2 linked regions of the Mus musculus genome follow. Each later gene encodes a partner of the first gene's protein in a complex. Links are inferred from orthologs where the notes say so. Each region holds a gene or a part of one and is shown on either strand. Other genes may lie near its edges.

Region 1 (7,839 bases):
GAGTATGTAACTGGTCTTTATGTAAGATAAACTGATGTTTGTTCCTGTCTCACAGGAAAAGTTATACAACATCCAGGGGCTTGCTTTTACAGTTCTAAAATCCCTTCTCTTTATCTGGTTTTCCCCTGGCTCCCAGCTATTGCCTGGGAGGCAGAATGTGCCCGCAACATATAGGTGCATCTCAGAAGGTAGTTGAGCTGTGAGGTTCCCAGAAGGCCCCCAGATCTTCCTGTCTTGCAGCCACTCATTTGCATAGCTCCTGACCTCACTGAAAATCTCAGAGCCTGAGGAGTCCCAGACTCAGACTCGGTGGCTTAATCTGTGTGTCTTCTAACTCGTCTTTCCTCCCCATAGCTATGTGGACTCCCAGCCGGAGGCAGCTCTGCCTGGCATTTCTGTTGGTCTGTGTGCTCTCTGCCGGCTCCTTCTTTTTCCACCTGAATGGAGGAAACTTCTTTCGAAATGGTCTAACTCTCTCTGTCCTGTGTTCAGACTATCACCTGCTGAAGTCCCCAGTGGCCATGGTATGCCTACCTCATCCATTGCAGACATCTAATGGCTCCCCTTCCTGTCCTGAGCAGTCCTCCTCACTCTCTGGGACTTGGACAATCACCCCAGGAGGCAGGTTTGGTAACCAGATGGGGCAGTATGCTACATTGCTGGCCCTAGCCCAGCTCAATGGTCGCCAAGCCTTCATCCAACCTGAGATGCATGCCGCCCTGGCCCCCGTGTTCCGAATCTCCCTGCCAGTGCTGGACCCTGAGGTGGACAGCCTCACACCTTGGCAGCACTTAGTCCTACATGACTGGATGTCAGAGGAGTACTCCCATCTGGAGGACCCATTTCTCAAGCTGTCTGGTTTCCCCTGCTCTTGGACCTTTTTCCATCATCTTCGGGAACAGATTCGTAGGGAATTCACTCTGCATAACCATCTACGGGAAGGTGCCCAGTACCTGTTGAGCGGGCTCCGTATAGGCCCGGCGGGCATCCGCCCTCATACCTTTGTGGGTGTCCATGTGCGTCGTGGAGACTATCTGGAGGTGATGCCCAATCGCTGGAAGGGTGTGGTGGGTGACCGAGCTTACCTCCAGCAAGCCATGGACTGGTTCCGGGCCCGACACAAAGACCCCATCTTTGTGGTCACCAGCAATGGCATGAAATGGTGTTTGGAGAACATTGACACATCCCATGGTGATGTGGTCTTCGCTGGCAATGGACAGGAGGGTACACCGGGGAAGGACTTTGCACTTCTCACACAGTGTAACCACACCATCATGACTATTGGCACCTTTGGCTTCTGGGCTGCCTACTTAGCTGGTGGAGACACGGTCTACCTTGCAAACTTCACCCTGCCAGATTCGGAGTTTCTGAAGATCTTCAGGCCTGAGGCTGCCTTCCTGCCTGAGTGGGTGGGCATCAATGCAGACTTGTCCCCGCTGCAGGCTCAATTTGACCCCTGGAAGCCAGACAGTCTTTTTAGATTGGTCTGACTCATCAGAAGTCAGCCATCCATGTCTCTATGCTTTGGTGTATGTCTGTGGTAGCCCTGGAGCTGTGGGTACTCATTTCCAGACTTGCACATCAACTTGCTGGAAATGCTGGAATGCTTTGCAGACACTTCAACAGGATATCATTTTCTGATTGCAGGGGAAGCCCAAGTCAGCACTGTAAGCCACAGTCTCTTCCGACTCTTCTGGCTCGTCTTCTTAGAACCTCTGGGCAGCTGTTTCTGGGTTAGGGAGGCTGAAGAAAATCCAGACTTACCAACTGGTCTCCTGGATTTCTGGGGTTATTCTAGGCTGTTTCTGAGAACCTGGTCCAGTCCCTTTGCAACACTCTGCAGGGCCCTCTCAACACTCCAGACAGTGAAGAATTTAATGAAGGTAGATGCAAAAGCTCAGTACTTCCTCACTGCTGGAGGCACGGAGTGATGCTAGAGGCACAGAGTGATGCTGCTGGAGGCACGGAGTGATGCTGGAGGCACGGAGTGATGCTGGAAGCACGGAGTGATGCTGCTGGAGGCACGGAGTGATGCTGGAAGCACGGAGTGATGCTGGAGGCACGGAGTGATTCGAGCCTTTCTGGAGCCAGTCTCTTGTTAGAGAGATGAGAACAATTGGAGGACATATGAATTCTGTCCAACTCCTTGGCCCCAGAGAAACCTGAAAGACTTTTATTTAGGATGGGAAGAGCAAATGGCTATAAGTGGGCTGGAGGAGAGAGCCGCTGTTGAGACACATCTGTCTCGAGGCACGGGGTCTCCTAAAAGATCTAGGAACTTTACAAGAGAGAGAGAGAGAGAGAGAGAGAGAGAGAGAGAGAGAGCTCAAAAGTTAAAGAACAACACAGATTAATCTTGGATTTAGGATCAAGGAGGTTTCTTCTTCTGAAGATGCTATTAGGGGATCTGGGATCTGTTTTCTAGAGGTAACCAGGCCTACAGAAAAGAAGGGCATACCCCTGGGCCCACAAAGTCCCCAAATCTGGCTCTGAGAAGATCCAGGGTAAAGGGTCTGAAGGTGTTCCAGAACCTAGAACCCAGAACCCCGAACCCAGCCTATGCCCCTACAGAAGCCCGGGCTTGAAACAAGGATGGGACGTTTGGCTGAGATTGGGTATGTGTGATGCCTTTTCAAGAATGGAGGAAGGTTCCTCAGATAGCATTTAATCTAACTGTATTTATTCCCTTCCAAGAGCAACTTCTATTCTTCTCAGGGAGTTTCCGGGCACTTTTTCCCAAGTTGGCCTGTACAGGCTGGAGAGGGAGCTGTGAATTAAAGGGCCACATCGCCAATACTTGTATCTGATGTTTTTGGAGCTGTGTACTGCATGTGTTGAGTGTGCAACACAATAAAGGTGTGTGTGTGTGTGTGTGTGTCGACCGAGGACATTCATGTCTCATGGATACAGCACCTACTCAGATCTGGTAACACTTGCTGCAAGAGGACTTGTGGTCCAATTTCCTTTCTCTGAAATTTTCATTATTGGCTACCAGACTTGTCATATGTTTTGTCTTATTTTGAGATAATCCAGGCTGGCCTAGAATTCACTCTGTAGACCAAGCTGGCCTGGAATTTGTGGCGATCTTCTTGTTTCAGTCTCCCAAGAGCTAGGACTACACATGTGGGTCACCATGCTTGGATCCAGGACTCTCCTTAACATGGTTTGAGGCAAGAAAGGAAGAATATCACTATCAACTATGTTTTCCATGTTGTGGGACAGATCATAAAGAAAGAGACGCTCCAGTGCTTTCTGGGAGTTGTAGTCCCAGTTTAGAAGACAAGCCACTTCCTGCATATCCTTATCTAGACACCAAGGTTTCCAATCAGCCAGAGGGCATCCTGCGGAAAACCTGGGGTCTACAAAGACCTGAAAGGAGGCTAGGGCAGGTTACTGGCTTTCGTTCAGGTCGGTGCTGGGAAAGTTCTACTATGGACTGCCACCCTATGACGTCACGATGGGATGGGCGGGGCCTACTTTGTTGCAGCCCAATTAAACTTGAGAGTTTGATTTCTGGGCGGGGCCTAAGAGTCAGGAAATAAGGGGATGACCGGTGACTCTTGGAGTCAGTAGAAAAACCCTAAATTACTCTCCCCAGTCTTCCAAGGAAAACCTTACTCTTAGTCGTGAGAAAGTATTTTAAAAAGTCCTCAGAACCTGGACTGAGCTGGGTGAAGCATTAGCGCTTGAGGGCGCGGAATTGGAAAGCGGCTTTTAAAGGGTGTTGTTTAAGGTACTGGGGGGCCTGAGAAGAGTCTGTCCTGAAAGGGGTCTCAGCCTTGAGGAAGAGTAGACAGGTACCCCAGAGACTGGAGGATGGCTTTGGAGGCATGCTGAAGTTTTTCCAGGTTTAAGTATCAGCTTTAAGGATTTGGGGTTTAAAACTTTTTATTCTGAAACCTTTTAAGTTTGGTAATATCCAAGTTGGTTACTTATTAGATAAATTGTTTACTATTTATTTAATTAATTTTATTAATATTTTATTAATATTTAGTTAATTAATTTTGAGACAATCTCAAGTAGGCCATGGTGGTCTTGACTTAGCCTCTCAAGTGCTGCTACCTGGATTTTTTTTTTTTTTTTTTGATGGTTTCTCGAGTTTGACTATTGAATGTCTAGTTTGTGGTGTCACAAGTTTTCCTGGCTAGAGAGTCTAAATGTTGATCTATTCTTAGGTTCAGAGTTAAGAAAACATGTGAGTTTGGGGTAGCTGGAGAGTGAACCCATGAGTGGGAAGTTTGAATGGTGTGTGGATGGAGATGGTCCTGAATTTGGGATCTGACGTAATAGTTTTCAGGGATGCAATGAGGACCAAAAAAATTTGAGGTTGGGGAGTCCAAGTTCACAACTTTGGGTCTTTGATTAGTGATATCTCCTTTTATTCGGGAATATCCCAAAGAATACCTCATATTGAGCTCTGGAATCCTCTAAGACTGATTTTGGCTTCTGTTTAGCGCCCTCCCCCCTGCCCTCTGTTTGGGGTGAGAGGATCCTCTGGCGGTGCTGGCAAGCTGTGCGTTCTGGCCTTCATGGGGCCGCATTTTACACTCTTGCTGGCAGCTCTTGCCAACTGCCTGTGTCCAGGGAGGCCCTGCATCAAATGTGACCAGTTTGTGACAGATGCGCTAAAGACTTTCGAAAACACTTACCTGAATGACCACCTGCCACACGACATTCACAAAAATGTAATGAGGATGGTGAACCATGAAGTATCGAGCTTCGGCGTAGTCACTTCGGCTGAGGATTCCTATTTGGGGGCCGTGGGTAAGGAGGGCAGGTCAAGATGCAGACCTCGGGAGCTTGGGAGAGGAAGGGCTGGGGCAAGAAGTCCCAGTCTAGGGGTGACAGGGACTGTAGGTAGAATGAAAAAGTGGCTGGGTGTAGTAGTCCACGCCTTTATTCCCGGTACTTGGGAGGCAGAGGCGGGTCTCTCTTTGCCCGATGGCTTCATGGGTATTGGAGTTACTATGAGCTAGAAAAGCTGGAGTCTGGAGTCTAGGGTTCTATATCTGCCCTCCACACACAGACGAGAACACACTGGAACAAGCAACCTGGAGTTTTCTGAAGGATCTGAAGCGTATTACAGACAGTGACTTAAAAGGTAAATGTGCCCAAAGATATGGGCAGATCCTCAGAAGTCATGGCTGGTGACACTTCAAACAGAAGTTAAGATTCATGCCTCTGCTTGGGTGCCATTGTGGCCCTGCCACTTCTTAGCCAAGTGACCCTGAGCCTGGGGCCTGGCAACTTTCACAGCCTCGACGTGGAAGTCCTGACCATCTTCCTTTCTCACTGGCTGTGAGGCCTGAGGGAAGTAAGACGTGCATTTTATAGCCCGATGACGGCAAGTTCGGTGCTTGATCGGATTGTTCTCCTGGAAAGGGCTAGACTATGAAATGCTAGCCCAGACAGGTGGGGCACGCCTGCACTCCCAGCTACTCAGGAGGCTGAGGCAGGAGAATTGCTTAAACCTAAAGTTCCAGAACAGCTCAGGCAATATAATGACATCCTTTCTAAGCAAATAAGAAAAAGAGGTGGAGCTGGCTGTGGTGGCGCACGCCTTTAATCCCAGCACTGGGGAGGCAGAGGCTGCCAGATCTCTGAGTTTGAGACCAGCCTGGTCTACACGGAAAGTTCTAGGCCAGCCAGAACTCATGGTGAGAGAAGAGAGGAAAAAATTAGGGGTTGGGATGTTGGGTATGGTGGTGCATGCTTGAAGACGGAGGCAGAAGAATCAGGCGTTCAAGGTCATCTTCAGCTACATAGTGAGTCTGAAGCCACTTATAGTACCTGTAGTGTACGGAATGCTAGACTGCACCTCGCCTCTGAGTGTCGGGGGCATCTCTTTTGGCTCTGTTTCCTCCTAGGAGAGCTCTTTATAAAGGAACTATTGTGGATGCTTCGTCATCAAAAGGACATCTTTAACAATCTTGCTAGACAGTTCCAAAAGGAAGGTGAGGGAAGGTGGAGGCGTAAGACACACCCACTGCCACCACTGGCTTCCTTAACTCCACCTCCACTCGCGCCCTCAGGAGCACCTCCCCCAGGTCCTTCCCTCCCTGCCCCACAGCTCCTAAATCGCAGACCTTTCTGTTCCACATCCACTCCTCCCTCTGGGGCTTGGTAGCAAAGCCTGTCATTCCAGCACTTGGAAGACTGAGGCAGGAGGATTGCAAGTTTGAGGCCACCTTGGGCTTAATGCCGACAGGCTGAGCCTACCCCTGTGAGTGAGTATAGGACTTGATGGGTGGAGGCAGGAAGTGGGGAGCTCCAGGTCCTCTTTATCCACAGCAAGTTTGAGACTAGCCTGGGCTACGCGAGACTCCTTTCTAAAAACAAAAATAAATCTGATTTTCTTTCTCTTTCCCTCCCTCCTTTCTCCCTTTGGAGGCAGTTCTTTGTCCCAACAAATGCGGTAAGTCCAATACGCATAACCTGTTCTTATTGCCCCATGGGCCTCCCCTCTGACCAGTCCTTGGACCTCCAGCACTCTCTCCAACTTGGGTTTCTTAGATAGTGAGCAGTGTTGTAGTTGCTCCCCTTCAGCAGGGTACTAACAATCTAGATAATGCAGATAGCTGCCCAGCCCTTGACCTGGACAAATTCTCTGTTCAGCCCTGCCTCTGAGAGGGAGACTACAACTTTAACCTTTGCCCTTTAGGAGTGATGTCGCAGACTTTGATCTGGTGTCTTAAGTGCGAAAAGCAGTTGCACATTTGTCGGAAATCCCTAGATTGTGGAGGTGAGGATGCCACCCAGCATAAGAGCCCAGTGTGAGAGGGGGGACAGGGCCTATAAGAGGCAGCTGCAGCAAGGCTCCTGCAGAAGTAGCTGCAGCTCCCTCTTTTGCACAGAGCGCCACATAGAGGTACATCGCTCGGAAGACCTGGTCCTGGACTGTCTGCTCAGTTGGCATCGTGCTTCTAAGGGACTTACAGATTACAGTTTTTACAGGGTGGGAACATCCGACTCCCTTGATCCTAAGTCTGTTAGACCTTTATGAGCCCCTGGGTCCCCTGCCCTGAACCAGGCCTTCACGGCCTGTTAGAGGTATCCTCTAATGATCCTTAGAGAGATCCCATACCCTGACCAGGGACTCGCTGTTGCCAGCCACGATCCTGTGGATGGCAGCCAGTCTAGGATGCCTCCTGTCAGGATTAGGGAGGTCAGGAGTCCTGATTCCTTCTTCCCCTGCACCCCAGGCCCCCTGTACTCCCCCACCTCCCAGTTCCCAAATTCCCCAGGCCTCTGTGACCCCTTGAGCTTGGGTCTAGGTTTGGGAGAACAGTTCTGAGACCTTGATTGCCAAGGGGAAAGAACCATATCTGACCAAGTCGATGGTGGGTCCAGAGGATGCTGGCAACTACCGCTGTGTGCTAGATACCATCAACCAAGGTCATGCCACCGTCATCCGCTACGATGTCACAGGTCAGTCTGGGGTGTTGGAAAAGTGGCATTCGGGGTGGGAGAAGCTCTGGAGGTGTGGCCTCGTCCACGGGACCAGATTTACTTGGCATGGCCTTGTTATTGGGTTTGTGGCTTTGGCTATAAACAGGGTCTGTGATGAGAGGTGTGGCTTCCCTTAGAAGGTGTGTTTTCTGGTCTTGGAGGTATGGTTTCCTGCCTAACTGGGTTGTCTTAGGCTTCAGTTGGACTTACTGGGGTGTGCCCACCCTTTAGAGAAGGCTAGGGTTTTGGGGTAGGCTTGCAGTTATTGGCTGCTGCCAGGACTGCCCTATGGTTCTCCTCTGTCAGTATTGCCCCCAAAGCATTCAGAGGAAAACCAACCACCGAACATCATAACCCAAGAGGAGCACGAGACTCCTGTCCACGTGACTC
Region 2 (7,813 bases), on another chromosome or scaffold:
CACACACAGTGTATAAGAGAAAAACATTCCAAATGACAAATAAATATTAACAATTCTCATACCCCTTAATAGTCAAGGAAATTAAAATCTTAATGAAGGCAAGGCAGCTCTCTCGATGCATCTTGGATTGGTGCTCATGGGACTAGACCAGAATGACACATGGAGAGTAGAGTTTCCTAGCCTTTTATTGAAGGTACCATGATAGGACATGTCGCTTGGCTGTCAGCATTGTCTCTGTCACAAAAGAGATGGCTGTGGACAGAAGAAGCGCCGGAGTCCTATAGTAGTGCCCATTTGTAAAGGCAGGAGAAATGAGGCACCGTAGACTGCTGGGTACCAGCTGCCATCCAGACCAGTGGAGATGGAGCCAAGCATGGAGGGGACCCTGGGAGGCATGAGAAATTCAGGTGCCAGCCTGCCCCCAACATGAATAGCCTGAGGATGGAGATGGCCATGGCCCAGAAGGATCAGGAAATGTGGGTTGGAGAGGGAAGCAGGGATCAGGGATGGAACAACAGGCACAGAGAGAAGGCTGGGAGGGTGTAAGAGAGCTGTGGGGCTAAGGCAGAGCCGGCAAAGTGGAGGGCCACTTCCACGTTGGGGTTGCTAAGGGTGGGCTCAAACCACTTCTGCAGACACCGCCCACTGTTCCTGCGCTCGGGACTGGCCTTGAATGTGTTGTTCCAGATCTTCTCACACAGGTCATCCGGGGTGGGGAAGTGATACGAAAAAGGGAGGCAGGGCTCATGTGCGGGGCAGTGTTTCTTCTCTGTGGGGATTGAGAACGGGCTCCTAACTTTCCACTGTCCCTTCCCTTCTGAGCCCCGTGCAGCCTCACCCAGTCTGAGGGCCACAAGTGCGTAGTTAATCCACTCACCCTCACTCCAGTCCCAGCCATGGAGCCAGTTGGATTTACAAGTCAAAGATGAGTGGCAGGCTCGCCACCAGTCCTCACAATCCTCCTGGCACAGCGGCACGCCCCAAACCCGCTGCTCTTCCTGCCCGTTTGGGACCACCTGGATGCAGAAGAGAGGGGCATATTTTAATTCTTTACAATGTAAGTATTATTTCTTCTCTCCGCGTGCACGTGTTTACATTCTGTAAATGCAGGCGAATGTGTGTGCGTGCACGCATGCTAGCACCCATGCCTCTCTCTGCAGAGCCCAGGGAACAACCTCAAGTATTGGTCTTCAGGCACCATCCACATTGGTTCGGATTTTCTCTTTGGCCTAGACCTGACCAAGCAGGCTAGGCTGGCTGGCAAGCAAGCTCCTGGGACCCACCTGTCTCTGCCTCTGCAGTGCTGGGATTATAGCAACATACCTCCACATCTGGCTTTTTTTTTTTTTTTAAATAAGGATTGAACTAAGGTCCTCATGCATAGTGATAAGCACTTCACTGACTAAGCTATCTCTCAGCCCTAGGCATCATCATCGGCATCATCATCATCATCATCAATTATTGGATAAATGAGAACCGTGAGGCAGAGCAGCTCATTGGTCCCAGGCCTTACAGTTAGTAAGTACAGGAGATAGAATTCACACTCAGATTCATCTCATTCCACCCTGCCTTATCCTACTGGCCCTCATCAGACAGTGTCTGTCATGTTATCATGCAGGGACAGAGGCATTTTAGCTTCCTTTTCATCCCTGTCTCCAGCAGAGACCTCTGGCTCTGCTCTTATCCCTAGAGGGGCAGCATCTCCTGTTCCTACTTGCCTCCTGTAGATGCCAGCCTAGGATTGAATGGAAGGGTGTTGCATGAGTCTGCCTCCTGTCTCCTATGTCCTCACCGGCTGGATCCAAGGCCCCAGGTTGGGGGAACACTCATGGAAGCAGATGGCCTGGATGAAGTGCTTGCGACAGGCCGGGGTCAGCAGTCCACAGTGCATCATGCTGAAGTTAAAGAGCAAGGGCTCCTCAAGGTGGGCTTCCCAACTTGTGGAACGTGTGCAGCAGGCATTGTCCTCCCAAGGCCTGCACTGAGGTGGGGGCAGAAGGGCGTCAGGAGAGGGGATATGAGCACCTCTCTAGAGGAGGAACTCTAGTATCTGAAGAATGAGGCGCACCTGACCATTGACCTCCCTCCCCTCTGCCTTCTTGCCACAAAGTATAGCTTCCAGGTGTCTGCTCCAGGGGGTGGGGGTGGGGCAATAAATCCAGGAAAGCAAATAGAAAGATTCAGGAACCTGGGTGGTTATCACGGGTGGGAGGAGCTTCTCGTTGGAATGTTCCTCCTCCCACAGCCTTTAGGAAACTGACAAGGAGACAAATTAAGGTCTGTCTCGCCAGCGCATGTTGGCAGGGAGGCTTGCTCTGACCCACGGTTAGCTAGCATAGCCTCTGGGATCACCACATGACCTGTTTCCCAAGCGGCCAGAACAGCTTAGTGGCAAAGCCCTAGATGGACCCCAAATTAAGGATCTAAATGATTAGGGGTGGTGGGGTACAGAGACCACCTGGTCTGTATTTCTTCTCAAATAATCCTAAGAAGCTGCCCTAGCCCCTGGGCCAGCGCTGCTCTGTACCTCCTGGTAGAGTTCGTCTTCTGGGCCAGGTTCTTGCTTGTGGCGCTTGGAATTCATGCAGACGCTGAGCAGTTTGTCCCCTGCCAAGGTGGGTAGGACTGCCCACAACCCCAAGAGGATCTGCCACCACTGTGCCATGACCTGCCACAGAGAGAAGCCCATGGTAAAGAGAACCTAGTCTTCTGAAAGACCAGGAAGGTAACACCCACCCCACTCCTGCCAACCACCAGGCACTGAAGAGGGAGGAGGGGCTCCAAGGCTTCCTTAGGTTGCTGAAATATTCTGGCTGCTCCTAGAACCTTCTGTGTAGAGCAGCATCACAGAATGTAGAGTAAGACTTGGATCTGGCACTCATTACAAACCATTGCAGGAATGTAGAAAGCAAACTGACCAACAGGGGAAAAGAGAAGAAAAAGAAAAACAAACAAACAAACAAACAGCAGCTCTGAAGAGGAGGCCAGGCAAGGAATGGATCTAAGCTGCTCACTTAGATACAGTTTGCTAGTTTGGTAATAATATGGATTCGAAGTTTAGAGCTTTAATCCCAGCCCACAGCCAGCCTCTTGGCCAAGTAACCAATTCCCAGTAAACAGATTCTCCTTATGGCAAAAGAACATGGTGGGGTGGGATGTCAAAGCCAGCTTTATCCATCACATGCCAACCCTAGTTCTATTCCCTAGGAAGGGTCCACACCAGCTCCTCAGAGTAGTTCATCCCCACCCTGACCCTTCAACCAATGAGCTTTCCTTAGCTCATTTCAACCAACCCCAGTCTATCTCAGAGACACCCTATGTGTCAGGCTGTAACAGACAGCCTAAGACCCCTGCTGGCCTCTCAGGGCTAGGGGCTGAGGAGACTTCCACCTTTAAGCCCTCATCCTAGCACAGGAACACGAAGGCTGGCTTGTACCTTGGTGTTTGCTGATACATTTCCAGTTCTCTTCTGGGTTGTACTGGCAATGGGGGGCGGTGGTGGAGAGGCTGGACAGAGAGATCGCCCCTCTGCTAGAACAAGGGCAAACCCGGCTTCAGGAGGGCTCCAGTCAGTCCTCACTGCCAGGACTTCATGGGTCTTACGTCACCTAGGCTTGCTGGGAGCCTGCCCTACACATCAGCAGTTTAGCCGGAGTAGTAGTCTACCTCAGGATGTCTGAGATGTGACTTAGAGACCCAGACTCTTCTGCAGAACCCATCCTGAACTCCAAACCCAAGACTGTTCTTCCACAGAGCCAGCTCCAAGTTTGCACAAAGAACAACTATTCTGAAAGACCGGGAAGGTAAGATGAAGAGAGGAAAGACACCAGCCCCCTCAGCATTGTCTTCAGATGTACCTTCAAGGCAGGGCCCTCCTGTTGCTCCTCCTGATGCCAAAGAGGTGAGCGGGCTGAGGGCGCTCCACCCACTGCCCTTTTATCAGCCTTCAGCTTCTATGAGCTACAGGTGTGGAGAGCCGCCAGTAGCTAGACCTGAGTAGCCTGCCTCCAAGAGAGAGAGAGAAACAAGACCTTGTGGTACCAGAGATCCCTGAAGTGGGTGGCAAGTTCAACTCTCAGCACTGCTTCTAACCTGTGAGAACTTGGAAATAACTTAGATTCTATCAGTCTGTTGCTCTGTAATGAGAGCTGTTGGCAGAATCTGTCCGGCGGGGTGGGGGGTGGGGGTGGGGTGAGAGGGATCATGAAAAGTTCACAGCCCAGGGATGTCTTAACAGTCCTTCATCTTTTGTTCTCAGAAGCTTCCTCGGGTCCCTTCCTCTGCTCAGACCCCTGGGGCCTCTGAGTAACAGAATCCTCCCACAGCATCCGGGTCTAGCTTAGCAGCACGCAGGTGCACAGACAGGCAGCTTGGCCAGCCAAGAATTTAAGCAACAATCAAAGCTGAAACAAAAGCCGCCCCTCAGGGCCACCAGGGGCAGCCTGCATTTGCACCCTGTGCCTGGTCTGATCGCTGCTCCAAAGGTCCCATTGGAGGTGATGCCCATAACTTTGCTTGTCTTTTATGTTCTGTCTCCAAAGGAAAAGTAGCCAAAAATCACTGAAATTTCATACAAAAAGTAGTAAATAAATAAAAACATTCCTTGTGATTTCCACCAAGGAAGACAAAGTACAGCACACGGTGTTCAGCTGCCAGTCAATGTACAAAGCACATTGATTTTGTGCAGGGAAAATAGCAGTTTCCATGCGTGGGTATGGAGTACTGAACATCCACGAGGACTAGTCACGGGGCTGGAGGCTAGGGCACTGGTACACAGTCTGGCTTACTGCCTGCAAGAATACCCCAAATGAGCACTCTCTTTTGTAGGGGATACTGAGGCTCGGACAGAGGTTGATGGAGCTAGAATCTGAGAAAGGCTTGTTTGACTCCATATTTAATGCTTATGAACCAGGTGAGGGGGATGCCCCCAGGACTGAGGGGTAGAAACTATCCAGATCTTTAAAAAAATTAAACGTCACAGTCAGACTTTGGGGGTGGGGGTGTGTTGGCTTTTCCGGAACAGAGCAGTAATGGTTATCAGCCCAACTTGCATGTCTGGTCTTCAACAGAGCTGAGACTCATTTCCTGAAGCCAGAGGCCAAATGGAAAGGCATTTCTGCTTCGAGGGTCTCTTTTGTATCGGTGTCCACAGGGACAGCAGAGGCAGGTACTCACGTCTGTCCTGTATAGACACCCAGGGAGCAACAAGTCTTGACAAGTAAGCGTTTTGGAACTGAACATTAAATTTAAAATGACTGTGGATGTGGCAAGAGCAAGAATCCAAAAATGAGTCACACGAGTCATTACTGGAATGGAAAAATGTCCTCCACAAGGAGGGAGAGAGATAAGGAGGACTCTCTTAGCCACCTCCAGGACAGAGCTATAGGAATTGTGTCAAAATTGCAGCCAGCATGGATGCAGGTGCAGTGGGGGAGGGGTGATTGCAGAGAGCTCCAGGCCAAGCATCTGTCCCTAGAGAAGTGCTGTGAGGCCCTTGAACAGAGCTCATTTTGCCTTATTTTGTCCCAGTCTTCCAGAGAAATCTGTTTTCCGATTGAAGGCTGCTAAATCAGGGCTGGCTGTGGATGGAGCCACTCAAGCAGCCGAAAACAGCAACAGATTAAAGACCAGGGGAAGAGGGGCAGGCAGTTAAAGGCATTCTGAAGGGGGAGGGAGGGGCAGTGAATGGGGTGACCTGAAGTGACAGGGATGCTGGATGGTGATGCCTGTCCTGTCTTCCCACCGTTTGGGTTATCAGGTCATCCAAAGCAATGCATTTGAAGACAAACAAAAAACAAAAAAGCTAGGACACCCCAGGGTATCTGAAGTCTGCAGCCAGTGCCAAGGCCTGACAGGAACTCTTCTTCTCAAGTATCCTCCTTACCCCCTGAATAATTAAACTCCCTTGCAAGTTTGTAGCTCTGGCAGAGGGCAGCGTGCCTCTCACTCTGGATGGTTCAATCTAATGTGAGGTGTTGTTGGCTTAAGCTCCTGTTCTTCCTGCAGCAGGGGTAGTGCTCAGAGACTCCAACCAGGCTCCCTGGTTCCCTCCAAGGCAATATCCATGCAACAGTCAAAACGGTAAAACTTCCCAGGGCGTTACTCTAACATCTGCCAACATCGGGAAAGTTGAGAGAACTTCACAGTGGATACTCATCTCCAATTTGATTTTATACGTTCTGTTTTGTGTTTTATGTTAGTTTGAGCCAACCATCCATCTCTTTCTTGAGGAATCTGTCCCCTGAGCTTCTCAAAGCAGGAAATCAGTGCACTTCCAAGTAATTCAAACACATCGTTAGCCAGATAATATCTGTCATGATTTAAAAAAAAAATCCAGAATGATCCTTTAAAAACATAAAGATGGTTGCCAGATGTTCACATTTAAAATCTTTGTATACATTTAAGTAACTGTTCATGGTTTGTGGGCTTAAATTGTTTTAATTTCATGTACATTGCTGTTTAGTATGTCTATGTGAGGGTGTCACATCTCTGGAACAGGAGTTTTAGACAGTTGTGAGCTGCCATGTGGATGCTGGGAATTGAACCCAGGTCCTCTGGAAGAGCAGCCAGTGCTCTTAACCACTGACCATATCTCCAGGTCCTCACAGGCCCTATTTAATCTAGTATCCATTTATTTCTCTGTTCTAATCTGAGGTCCATTTTTTCCTATTCTGAATTAATTGTTTGTGTGTGTGTGTGTGATGGAGTGGGCATTTGTGCCATAGACTATGTATCCAGTCAGAGGACAACTTTATAAAATCACTTCTCTCCTTTCACCTACCCTTGCTTTCACAGACAGAACTCAGCTCCTTCCTTTTGCGTGCACTGCAGAGCATTTGACTCTCGAAAATCTGTAACTGCCCTGCTCCCAAAACGTGGCTCCTTGGCAAGGTTTACTCTCTCACAGTCCACTCGCCCTCAGCCTCAGTGTCTAGGGACTCCTACTCGGTTCTGGTTCCCAGAAGGGACTGCTTGCCCCTGCCCACGAGGGATGAAGCTCCTTGGTGTGGGGAGATGCTCTCTTGGGTCTGATGTTATAGCTTTGTTCCCACCGCTGCCTTTTGCCCCATGAGCACCTGTCAGTCTCCCTCAGCCTCCCTTCTGTACACAGTTCAGGCAGACACATGCCCGAGCAAGAGTCTCATGTTATGTGCCTTTAGAAAGCAGCAACACTGGTCCAGACAGCTCCCCAGTTTACTATGACCTAGCCCACCTCTCTTCTATTCTCTCCCTTTCTTTCCCATCCTCCTCCTCTCAGACATCTTTCTCCCATCTTTAAAAGTATTTCTTGTCTCCTCCCATTCTCTTATCCTTTTCCTTATATAATTCAAACCATGAGAGAACTTATTTTGAAAGGACAACATAAACCCTATTTTTCTCCATTTAAGGATCAGATCTGATTTTAAAAAGAAGGCCACAGGCACCAGCTCCATGAACAGACCATAAGTCCCAGAAACAATGTCATAAGACACCAGGTCTAGGAACAGACCATAAAATCCAGAACAAGATATAAAACCCCCTTCCAAAGAACAGCCCAGGAATAGCCACAAGAATGGGAAAATATCTTAGAATGGGCCATCTGCACTGGATAGCCCTATCTCAGCCAATGGTTAAACATTTATGACATAGGAATGCAGGCCATTGACTCCAGACCACTTGTGACACCCTAGCACCCACCAATGAGATTTTGGATTTCCCAGTCCCTCTAGAGAGTTCCCCTGGTTCCCTATAAGAAGGCTTGCGTGCCTTTGTTTGGGGTCCCCATTTCATAAAATGGTTGACCCCCACATGCTGGTTGTTTCTGCAGAATAAA

What was found. Proteins that work in one complex are often made in the same cells at the same time.
Region 2: the proteins of Izumo1 (region 1) and Izumo1r are in contact, whole or in part, in a crystal structure (PDB 5JKC), measured with the Homo sapiens proteins. The link is inferred for Mus musculus from reciprocal best matches to the Homo sapiens genes IZUMO1 and IZUMO1R. Residues at the interface, in NP_872381.2 of Homo sapiens: Met75, Val77, Tyr134, Val141, Leu146, Trp148, Lys150, Asn151, Lys153, Glu155, Val156, His157, Ala158, Arg160, Lys161, Ser162, Tyr163, Asn239, Ser240, Ser241, Pro242, Ile245; in NP_001186135.1 of Homo sapiens: Lys42, Tyr44, Glu45, Ile48, Leu58, Trp62, His65, Leu66, Asp67, Gly80, Leu81, Leu82, Met83, Pro84, Gly85, Arg87, Ile91, Met145, Ser146, Tyr147, Gln171.

The regions. Positions count from the first base shown.
Region 1 is NC_000073.6:45,618,268-45,626,106, forward strand, and holds the start of Izumo1 (izumo sperm-egg fusion protein 1 precursor), read left to right. Parts: upstream 1-3,543; 5' UTR 3,544-3,733; intron 3,734-4,454; 5' UTR 4,455-4,529; coding exon 4,530-4,764; intron 4,765-5,026; coding exon 5,027-5,101; intron 5,102-5,867; coding exon 5,868-5,954; intron 5,955-6,394; coding exon 6,395-6,415; intron 6,416-6,661; coding exon 6,662-6,742; intron 6,743-6,854; coding exon 6,855-6,955; intron 6,956-7,274; coding exon 7,275-7,428; intron 7,429-7,755; coding exon 7,756-7,839. Other genes in the region: Fut1 (galactoside alpha-(1,2)-fucosyltransferase 1), read left to right, coding at 357-1,490. UniProt on the Homo sapiens protein: Essential sperm cell-surface protein required for fertilization by acting as a ligand for IZUMO1R/JUNO receptor on egg.
Region 2 is NC_000075.6:14,899,856-14,907,668, forward strand, and holds Izumo1r (sperm-egg fusion protein Juno isoform 1 precursor), read right to left. Parts: upstream 3,913-7,813; 5' UTR 3,858-3,912; intron 3,529-3,857; exon of another isoform or gene 3,437-3,528; intron 2,731-3,436; exon of another isoform or gene 2,690-2,730; coding exon of another isoform or gene 2,666-2,689; coding exon 2,528-2,665; intron 1,982-2,527; coding exon 1,793-1,981; intron 1,017-1,792; coding exon 878-1,016; coding exon of another isoform or gene 770-877; coding exon 501-769; 3' UTR 168-500; downstream 1-167. UniProt on the Homo sapiens protein: Receptor for IZUMO1 present at the cell surface of oocytes (oolemma), which is essential for species-specific gamete recognition and fertilization.